Linked DNA regions of Arabidopsis thaliana. The protein of the gene in region 1 interacts with the protein of each later gene in a pairwise test. Each region holds a gene or a part of one and is shown on either strand. Other genes may lie near its edges.

Region 1 (4,104 bases):
GAATTGTCATAAATACATTCAGCACAATCTTACATTACATTCAGTGCCACGTTAGGCCGCCCGTTTAAACACGGTTTTCTTTTTAAGTTTTATGATCAAAACATGTCTGGTACAGTATATGTCTAGAGAACAAGTGTTATGTCTAAAACTTCAAGCATAAAGAAGCGACTAAACAAGCTCTACAATTTACTTATAACCACAGCTATGCTAAACACATATTATGTTCACTCTTTGATTGTTGTTTAGCTTAAAGCTGTGCAAATAAATGTATATAAAAAAGAGATCCATACAGTAGCAGCAGGGAATGATACTAGAATGATTCTTTAGTTCCTGTCTTCTTCAAAGACAAGTTCCCTTTCAGAATCACCAGCCATAACGTCTCTTTCTCGATGCAGAGTCTACCAAATAGACATCTACAGGAATTCTGTCTTATATTCTACCTGTGTGAAACACACAAAAGATTGAAAAATAATGCCTAGCTAGTAAGAGGTAGACTGGTATAGTACTCATCAAGCCAAAAACCACAGGTAGAATATAGTAGATCAAGTGATTGAACTCAATATACCACCTTTTTTTTTCTTTTTCTCATCAATCTGATTAGCTTCCGCATTTGATAATTTGAGTTCAAGACGCTCAGTTTGTTTCTCTGCTATGCATTTTCCTTCCCAATTGTCACCAGTTTCCTCAAGAGCAAACTGCATAAAGAGGGTTTTCATTTATCTCAGATGTGATCAAACAACAACTTACTCCTATTGTAGATGTTGGCTTGAGGCAATTCTCATGTCTGTTATCTCACCATTTGAGATTTCTCTATGTATTCCACCAGAACAACAGTGTCTTTGAAAGAATTTTCTGTTGTGCTCATTATCTGTCATACAACTTTACTTTGTCACCAAGAGGGCATTAAATTAGTTGAAACAAGTGAAATAGATCTCTCTACCTGCAAAGCCACTTCCAAACTCAGAGCCTTTTGTTTGCAGGCAACGACATACATGCTTTTGCCAGTTCAGTCTTCGAGTTTATTGAAAACAGGTGTACCAAAGCCCCTGCATATAAGTTTATTATTAATCAATAAGCAAGCAAAAGTCCGAACAATGAAGGTAATAACACACCACCAACAAAGTTCCCCTTTGTTCTTACATCAACAAATGCGGCTATCACCTTTTCAGCAAACTCGAGATCAGGACACCTGACGATATTAATTTCTATCTGGCACACAAGCAAGGTTGTTGCAAATGCAAATTTATCAAAAAACGACAAACGCTAAGAGAATGCACCAAAATGTGAAGGATATGTAAAGAGTTTCGAGTACATTGAAACAATTCAGGTGCAATCAGAAAACTTGCACACTTCAGTTCCTAAATATGCTCTAAAAATTTCTTGGCCAAAGCTCTAGGAGCCACTCTTTCAATGGTCTCTCTAGATGAAGACCTCCTGCCACTCATGAAGAAACAGAGAGACTTATTTTAAGATACTCTCGATTCAAGTACTAATCCTAACCATAATAAGCAATACACATATATAACGCTTTGAACAAAAGAATAGTCATTACCTGAAGTGATCTGACTATGTACTAATGTACATGTCTTAAGTTGCATCAATTATGTGAAGGCCTAAATGCAACAGACGATTTCATTGTAATCCTACAAATAAAGCACATCCATCGATTCACCAATGAAGTGAGAACCATATGCCACAAAACTATTAATCAAAAATCTGATAACTCCAAGTACTGCAAAAGAATGATTAATTATATGACCATTTCTTCTATAACTCCTAATCCGATATACATAAAGCTAATCAAGGATGATGCAAGTGAAATAACAAACGAAATCAGAGAAACTCATTGAAAGAAGTGAATCCGGTCGGGTTGATCCATAAAGGGGAATGAAAGAAGAAGAAGAAACCATTGTAAATTTCAAAATGTATTGATGGTGGTACGGTTTAATTGGTTCAGACTTCTAGATTACTGCGATTCAAATGTTTCAATCGGCAAAATCCATGTAATTCTTCGCGATTACAGTTACAGATATAACAGAACTAAACAGCAAAAAATGGAAATTAGTATGTGATAATCCATAATTATCTCAAGGAAATGATTTACCTCTAGAAGTTTAAACCTGGATTTTAGCAATCCTAGTGGCGATAATCTCTTAACTGCTTATCAGCCTCATAAACTAATTCACATGATATACTTACGTGGCACTAATAAGTGCTTACTTGGAACACTCACCAGATTACACGTGGCTCACTGTAACAGACTGAAGCTTATAAAAGGCAACACTCCTCTCCTCCCTATCTTCAAAATGGATCTCAATTTTGTCATTCTGTTTTACTTTCAATGAAAACTTACTTTTGGTTATACTTATGTATGATTCATTTATTCATTTAATTCAAAAACGTCACAATCCCTTTTTTTTATTACACATGAAATGAGCTCAACGTACAAGGACAACCATCCGTACCACCACCACCCTCACCATCACCATCACCATCCAAAGAGAGAACCCAATGAAAACAACTCCGGAATCTTATACACTCCCTCACCTTCACCGTCACCGCCAACTTTAAAAGTCAACAAAGACTCTCACGTTATTAAAAAACCACCGTCTCCGTCTTCTTTCTCCTCCGCGGCTAAGCCTCGTCACCCGGTGATCATTTACACACACACTCCAAGAATCATACACACTAATCCTAAAGATTTCATGGCTCTTGTTCAAAAACTCACCGGAATGACCCACTCCGACGAAGATCTCGGCGGTGGTAACGCAATGACCGATCCCGGGGTGGTAAAATCAATCAACCGAACCGTCTCTGAACCAACCGTCGACAGAAAAAACAACCGCAATCGCTGCGGCGGCGGTAATAATTACCTTAGAAACTACTCCGGTGCCGGAAACGGAAAGGGGATATTTTTTAATAACACGATGATAAGTGAAGATAGTGAATCGTCGTCGGTGATAACAACTGAGGAGAACATCGGAGAACATGGACAGGTTAATTCTTCTCTTCCGTATTCAGCGGTGGCTATTCCTCCACAGCCACCGCCTCATCCTCCTCCACCTCCGCCGCCACCGTCTATGTACGACGCTGCGGGGATAAACTACGGTGCTTATTTACCGACATTTCCGATTTTCCCGCCGGCGAATCCAGCTGATAATTTCTTATGCGGTAATCAACCGTTTGCGAATTTTGATGATCCGCTTTTCTTCGCGCCTAATATGAGAAGCTCTTTCTCTTCTTCTTCATCTTCTGGCTTCGATGGCTTGACGGAGTTTCGCGATTTTTAAGTTATCCGGCGTAAATTATTTCCGGTTTTGGAAAAATAATTTGTTTTTTCTTCATTGGAGGAGGTCTTCAAAGGGACTAATAATTTTTGAAATTAGTTAATAGTTATTTTTCCTTTAGTTAATTACTTTATATACTCGAAACAATTTTTCTGTGATCATCTTTTTTATTTCAAAAATTCATTATTTTTGTAAAATTTTATTGAATTCAAGAGTTGGCTCCCGAAATTAAGCTTAATACATACACAAACTGCATACATACATACATACATAAATGTATAGATTATAAGTATATATGTACGTCTGTGGCAACTATAGACGCTCTCCAATTAGTTCTTCTTCTTCTTATTGTTCTTGTCATGTAGAAGGACCACTGGAGCCGCTGGTATACTAAACCACCACTCTCTCAACCGCCTTATTAACCGTTCCGTGCTAGCTCTCCTTGGTGGCGAGTATCTTGTGAAAAGCTCAACAAATACAACCGAAAGCAAGTAGCGTCCCGGAACAAAGGCCATCATCGTCGCTGCGACCACAATCGCAATCGCAAACTTCTGGCTCGCCTGAAATAGCGGTTTCAAAACTGTGGTTAGACACAGCTTTAGGAGAAGCAGTTTGTGTTAAATATAAGAGGGAAGGCTGACCTGAGGGAAAAGCGAGAATAATAAAGCTCGGAACTTGAGAAGAACGATGTTTGCGTCTTGAATGTTCTGTTCGAGCTCCGAGATCCCGTTCTGGACTGCCAAAAGCTGTTCCATTGTGTTCATTGGAGGAGGAGCAGTTACTTTCAGCTCGATCATGAGCTTTTCTCTGCTGAAAC
Region 2 (4,551 bases), on another chromosome or scaffold:
GCTTTCATTTTGTTCTTCTATTCTCGAAAAATACATGACTACTTTGGGGTTATGTTTAATATTCTTGGTTGAAAAAATGCAGCTCTTTTAGCCACCATTTCTCTTTATGAAATTCTCTAACAATGTGTGATTATTGTTCTGTTGGCCAAAACTATTTCTGCGGATATACATGAAAGATTTGCAATGTAGTTGATGTTTTGCATTTTCAAGTTCTTTTGACTTGCAATTTTTGTGTTTGGTGGTGAGACTCTACTCTTTCTAGGCGCTGTACACCGAATTTGAGATTTTTTTATTTGAGTGTTTTTTTTAGCTTAGGAACAAAGTTTGTGGATTAGGTAGACTGTTTCGAAGAGTGGGCCAACAAATATTTGCCTTGTGATTAAGCCATCCTCATCTCATAGTGAGAGAGTGTGTCTCATTCTTCTATTTATCTATCCATTTATAGATAGATGTGTTGTTAACTGGTTTATGTGGTTTCATTAGTAATAGTTACGTTGTAACTGCTTTATCATTTATTTATTTTTACGACTCCAGAAATGAAGAAGATGAAATCAAAGTTCTGTTTCTACTACCGTGTTACAACGTAAAGCAACAAAACATTTGGTTACGTTTATATAGGAAACCAAAATTGCCAAATTTAACCAAGGCTTGAACAAAACTTTAATCAGTTTCTTGTTGTTGTTGGGCCCAAAGCTACCTGTTTTACCAATCAAATCTGTTCTTACTTTGTCAATTGTCACAAACCTTGACTTAGTTCTTAAATCACTCACCAAAAACTCTGATTCTCAACCCAAAACAAGAAATAAACTTGTACTTAACTGCCAAAGGCTTGTTGAGCCTAACAACAAATATTGGCCCACATAACAGGCCCAAATCTTACAAAGCACCCAACCCTTTTTTTTTAGCACCCATCCCTTGAGTACTTTTTTCATTAATGTTCTTTTCCAAAAAGATATAGAGGCTGCGAGATGTGAAAGAAAAAAAGTGAGATTGCAAAAGAACACGTGCGTCTTCCAAGAATTTTCTTAGGGGTTATATAATATTCAAACATTTGATCTCTTTGATAATTGTCCAACCTTTTCTTTTTACTTTGTGCTTTTGAATGGTCAATCAAACATGGACTAACAACAGTAAATGGTGAGCTACTTTTGTTTTCCTAATTGAAATTGATTAATAATTGGTAAATGGTTTCAACTTCAAACCTCGGAAGAATAATCATCAAACACGTTTGCGCCTCTTTGTTTACCTTCTACAAGGACTTAAAGTTTGACCAAAATTCCTCAACTACATACGAATGAATATACACTGACGTCCGAAAACAAACCATGAAAAGTACTTTACTTCTCATTAAGCCAATGAAGAAGAAAAAAGTAGCAATATACTCGTCCTAAGCTTTTTTTTTTTTGCTATGAATGTTGTTATCATTATAAAAATTAAAAGAGTTTAGCTTTACTGAGTAAGGGCCTATTGTTTTGAATCTTTGGCCAAAAAAGTTGCGGAATCGTTTGCGTCTGTGGTGATCATGTTTATGATCTCTCTGTCAATTGTGTCGATATACGTCATTAGTTATATCTTGGTATTTATTCAATAAAACCATCAAAAACTGTATTTATTCATCATGGAATCGGTATTATATTAAGTTATAACCGTATCTCACCACAACGACATCAACATCTTTATTCTTTGTTTTAGAAAGCAATGGAACGAAGAACAGATTCAAACTACTTCTCTTTTTTCCACGTGTGTAAATAGTCAATAAATTAGATGGTCCAAGGATAAACTCGTATTTGTATATACAAATATCGAAAACGACTTGTAGTGTGTTTAAGAGCCAATCTAACAATTTTATATGTGTGGATTCAAACATTGAAGACTTTGATTGATCAATTCAAAGAAGTATGCATTTATTATATGCACGGATAAAATGATGACGTTCGACAAAAAAAAAAACGTAAACCTCATATGACGTTCGGATAAAAGAAAAACGTAACACGTACACGACGTCATTGGAGAGATCATTCGTCCGTTCGTAATAATCTTCCACAATCCAAAATTCTGTGTTCTACGTCGGTGCATGCATCGTTTTTTTGGTTATTCTACTTCAATGAATCGCGAAAAGCAGAGTGAGTAATTGATTCTTACGTCAGATCACCAATAAGTCTTTCCTTCCTAATTTGCAATATCTATTACAAAATCTTTATTAATGCGCAGTTTCAAAGCACTCTCAATAGCATACATTCTTGTGTAGATCTGATCCTTATCCATATATATATACATTTAATTGATTATTACTCGTGAAAACTCAGTAAACTATCTTGAGAAAATTGCCTATATCTTTTAAGAAATAAGATTAGGGGTACATAAAACATTATCTTACAAATGTAATTATGTAAAATGTTTAATCCTTACGTGTCGTCTACGACACTACCCCTCTTTAACGATTAGCAGAGGGCCGCCTCTTCGTCTTTGACTTCATAGTCTACCATAAATATGTCTATATATTTTAGACTAAACTTTATTATGTTTTCACAAAGATATCTTAACAAACTCCAATCAATTATCAAACAAAAAGAGAGGAACAAAATTCTTCTTCTTTTGGAATTCAGGTGGATCGGTCTGTCTCGTTGTTATAATCAAGATTCCACAAATAATTAGGAATATGGAGGGATATGATAATGGGTCGTTGTATGCTCCTTTTTTGTCGTTGAAATCTCATTCGAAACCAGAGCTGCATCAAGGCGAAGAAGAGAGCTCAAAGGTTAGATCAGAAGGTTGTTCGAAAAGCGTGGAGTCGTCGAAAAAGAAGGGGAAGAAACAAAGGTATGCGTTTCAAACAAGGAGCCAAGTGGATATTCTTGATGATGGTTATCGATGGAGGAAATATGGCCAAAAGGCCGTCAAGAACAACAAGTTCCCTAGGTTCTTCTTCAATTCTCCCTTCTTATTTATTCATTGCTTACAATTGCTATATATTTTATCGAACATATAAAGAAAGAGTTAAGAGTTAGACATGCATATATATGCTTTAGCCAATTCGAATCAATCTCCAATTAATGTGTATATGTATCATTCACATCGGCCCTAGATTGATCTTAACTATTCTGCAATATGTGTTTTGATTAATTTATCGTTTTCATCTTCTATAGCTAGCCGAGATACATGATCTATTTGTTTCTCTATCTAATAATTAATCAATATTTAATATAAATACACTTTTGGTCAACAAATCATAGAAATGTGCTTTTGTGAAGAAATTTGATGATTAATTACTCTTCTAAAAGACTCGATGAATATATGTATATCCTATTCACATTTTATTCTAGATTGATCTTTACTAATTGATTGGGATATGGATATGGATATTGATTTTTTTTTTTTCTAGTCTATGTAGCTAACAATCAGCGATTAAAAATGAAAGTCTTTTGGTAGACATTTTTCTTCTTATAATTTGGATTCGGGAACATATATGTGACAGTTAATTACTCTTCTAAGAGATTCAAAAACAGTTATTTGCATATAGAGAAGTGAAGTGTTTTGAAATATAACTAATGGTTTATATATATAAATGTGCAGGAGTTACTATAGGTGTACATATGGAGGATGCAATGTGAAGAAGCAAGTGCAAAGATTAACAGTGGACCAAGAAGTGGTCGTGACAACCTACGAAGGAGTGCATTCGCATCCCATCGAGAAATCCACCGAAAACTTCGAGCATATTCTCACTCAAATGCAAATCTACTCTTCTTTCTAGTTAATTCTCTCAAAATCTTTTATACCTTATTTTAGAGCCTATAATTCTTAGAGCTCATGTTGTAAATTATTTACAAAAATTAGAATGTTACATTTTACGTGTGTTGAAAAGAAAAACCATGCATGATCTGATGATCAGCTGAAGTTTGTATCCTAATAATTTTTAATAAAAATTTCAAAAATTGAGTGTAGTCTATTACTGATAGCAGCATATAATGCACATATTAAATTTCAAACAACTGTTGCTAAACATATTATTACGGTTATCTGATAAATAGTAATACTAATGGTTAGGCGTTAATAAGATATGTCATAGTCTCTAACTACCCACCGAAAGTTGTAAGAAAACTACATGAGGTATGGGAATCTGAAAGTTAGCTAGGTAAGTGACAAGAAAGTAAAAAATATCAACGGAGAAAATGACTTTACAATTCTTAAAATTAAATCAGTAACAAAATAAACCCATTTTGCTAGTTAATTCTGCTATCAGCAATGATGCTCTTGAAACAGTGACAAGAGAGTCATTGTTCTTCAGCACCGTCGCATCAGTTCTTGAGTAATCCAGTGTCTTTTTTGCATGTAACCAACCATCTTCGTGTAAATGTATGTAATTGAGCCTGAAATCTTTATTATCAATATCAAGATGCAAACCGTTTGGATTTGGATTCAAAAATTTGGATAAAAGCTTCACAATTCAACTTTCAGTTGCTAACACAAAACAGGAGTTACTGAAACAAACACCAATTTGATCTAAACTGTTTCATAAACTTATTATAACCATGCTCCAAAAACGTAGCTCTC

What was found. The genes of interacting proteins can lie anywhere in the genome.
Region 2: the proteins of AT3G18360 (region 1) and WRKY75 interact in a two-hybrid assay, tested with the Arabidopsis thaliana proteins (one large-scale study listed by BioGRID).

Annotation. Positions count from the first base shown.
Region 1 is NC_003074.8:6,300,013-6,304,116, reverse strand, and holds AT3G18360 (VQ motif-containing protein), read left to right. Parts: upstream 1-2,304; 5' UTR 2,305-2,432; coding exon 2,433-3,290; 3' UTR 3,291-3,497; downstream 3,498-4,104. Other genes in the region: AT3G18350 (heat-inducible transcription repressor (DUF639)), read right to left, coding at 3,617-3,847, 3,929-4,104. UniProt on the Arabidopsis thaliana protein: May function as negative regulator of plant defense.
Region 2 is NC_003076.8:4,149,128-4,153,678, reverse strand, and holds WRKY75 (WRKY DNA-binding protein 75), read left to right. Parts: upstream 1-2,477; 5' UTR 2,478-2,659; coding exon 2,660-2,919; intron 2,920-3,573; coding exon 3,574-3,751; 3' UTR 3,752-3,941; downstream 3,942-4,551. UniProt on the Arabidopsis thaliana protein: Transcription factor. Interacts specifically with the W box (5'-(T)TGAC[CT]-3'), a frequently occurring elicitor-responsive cis-acting element.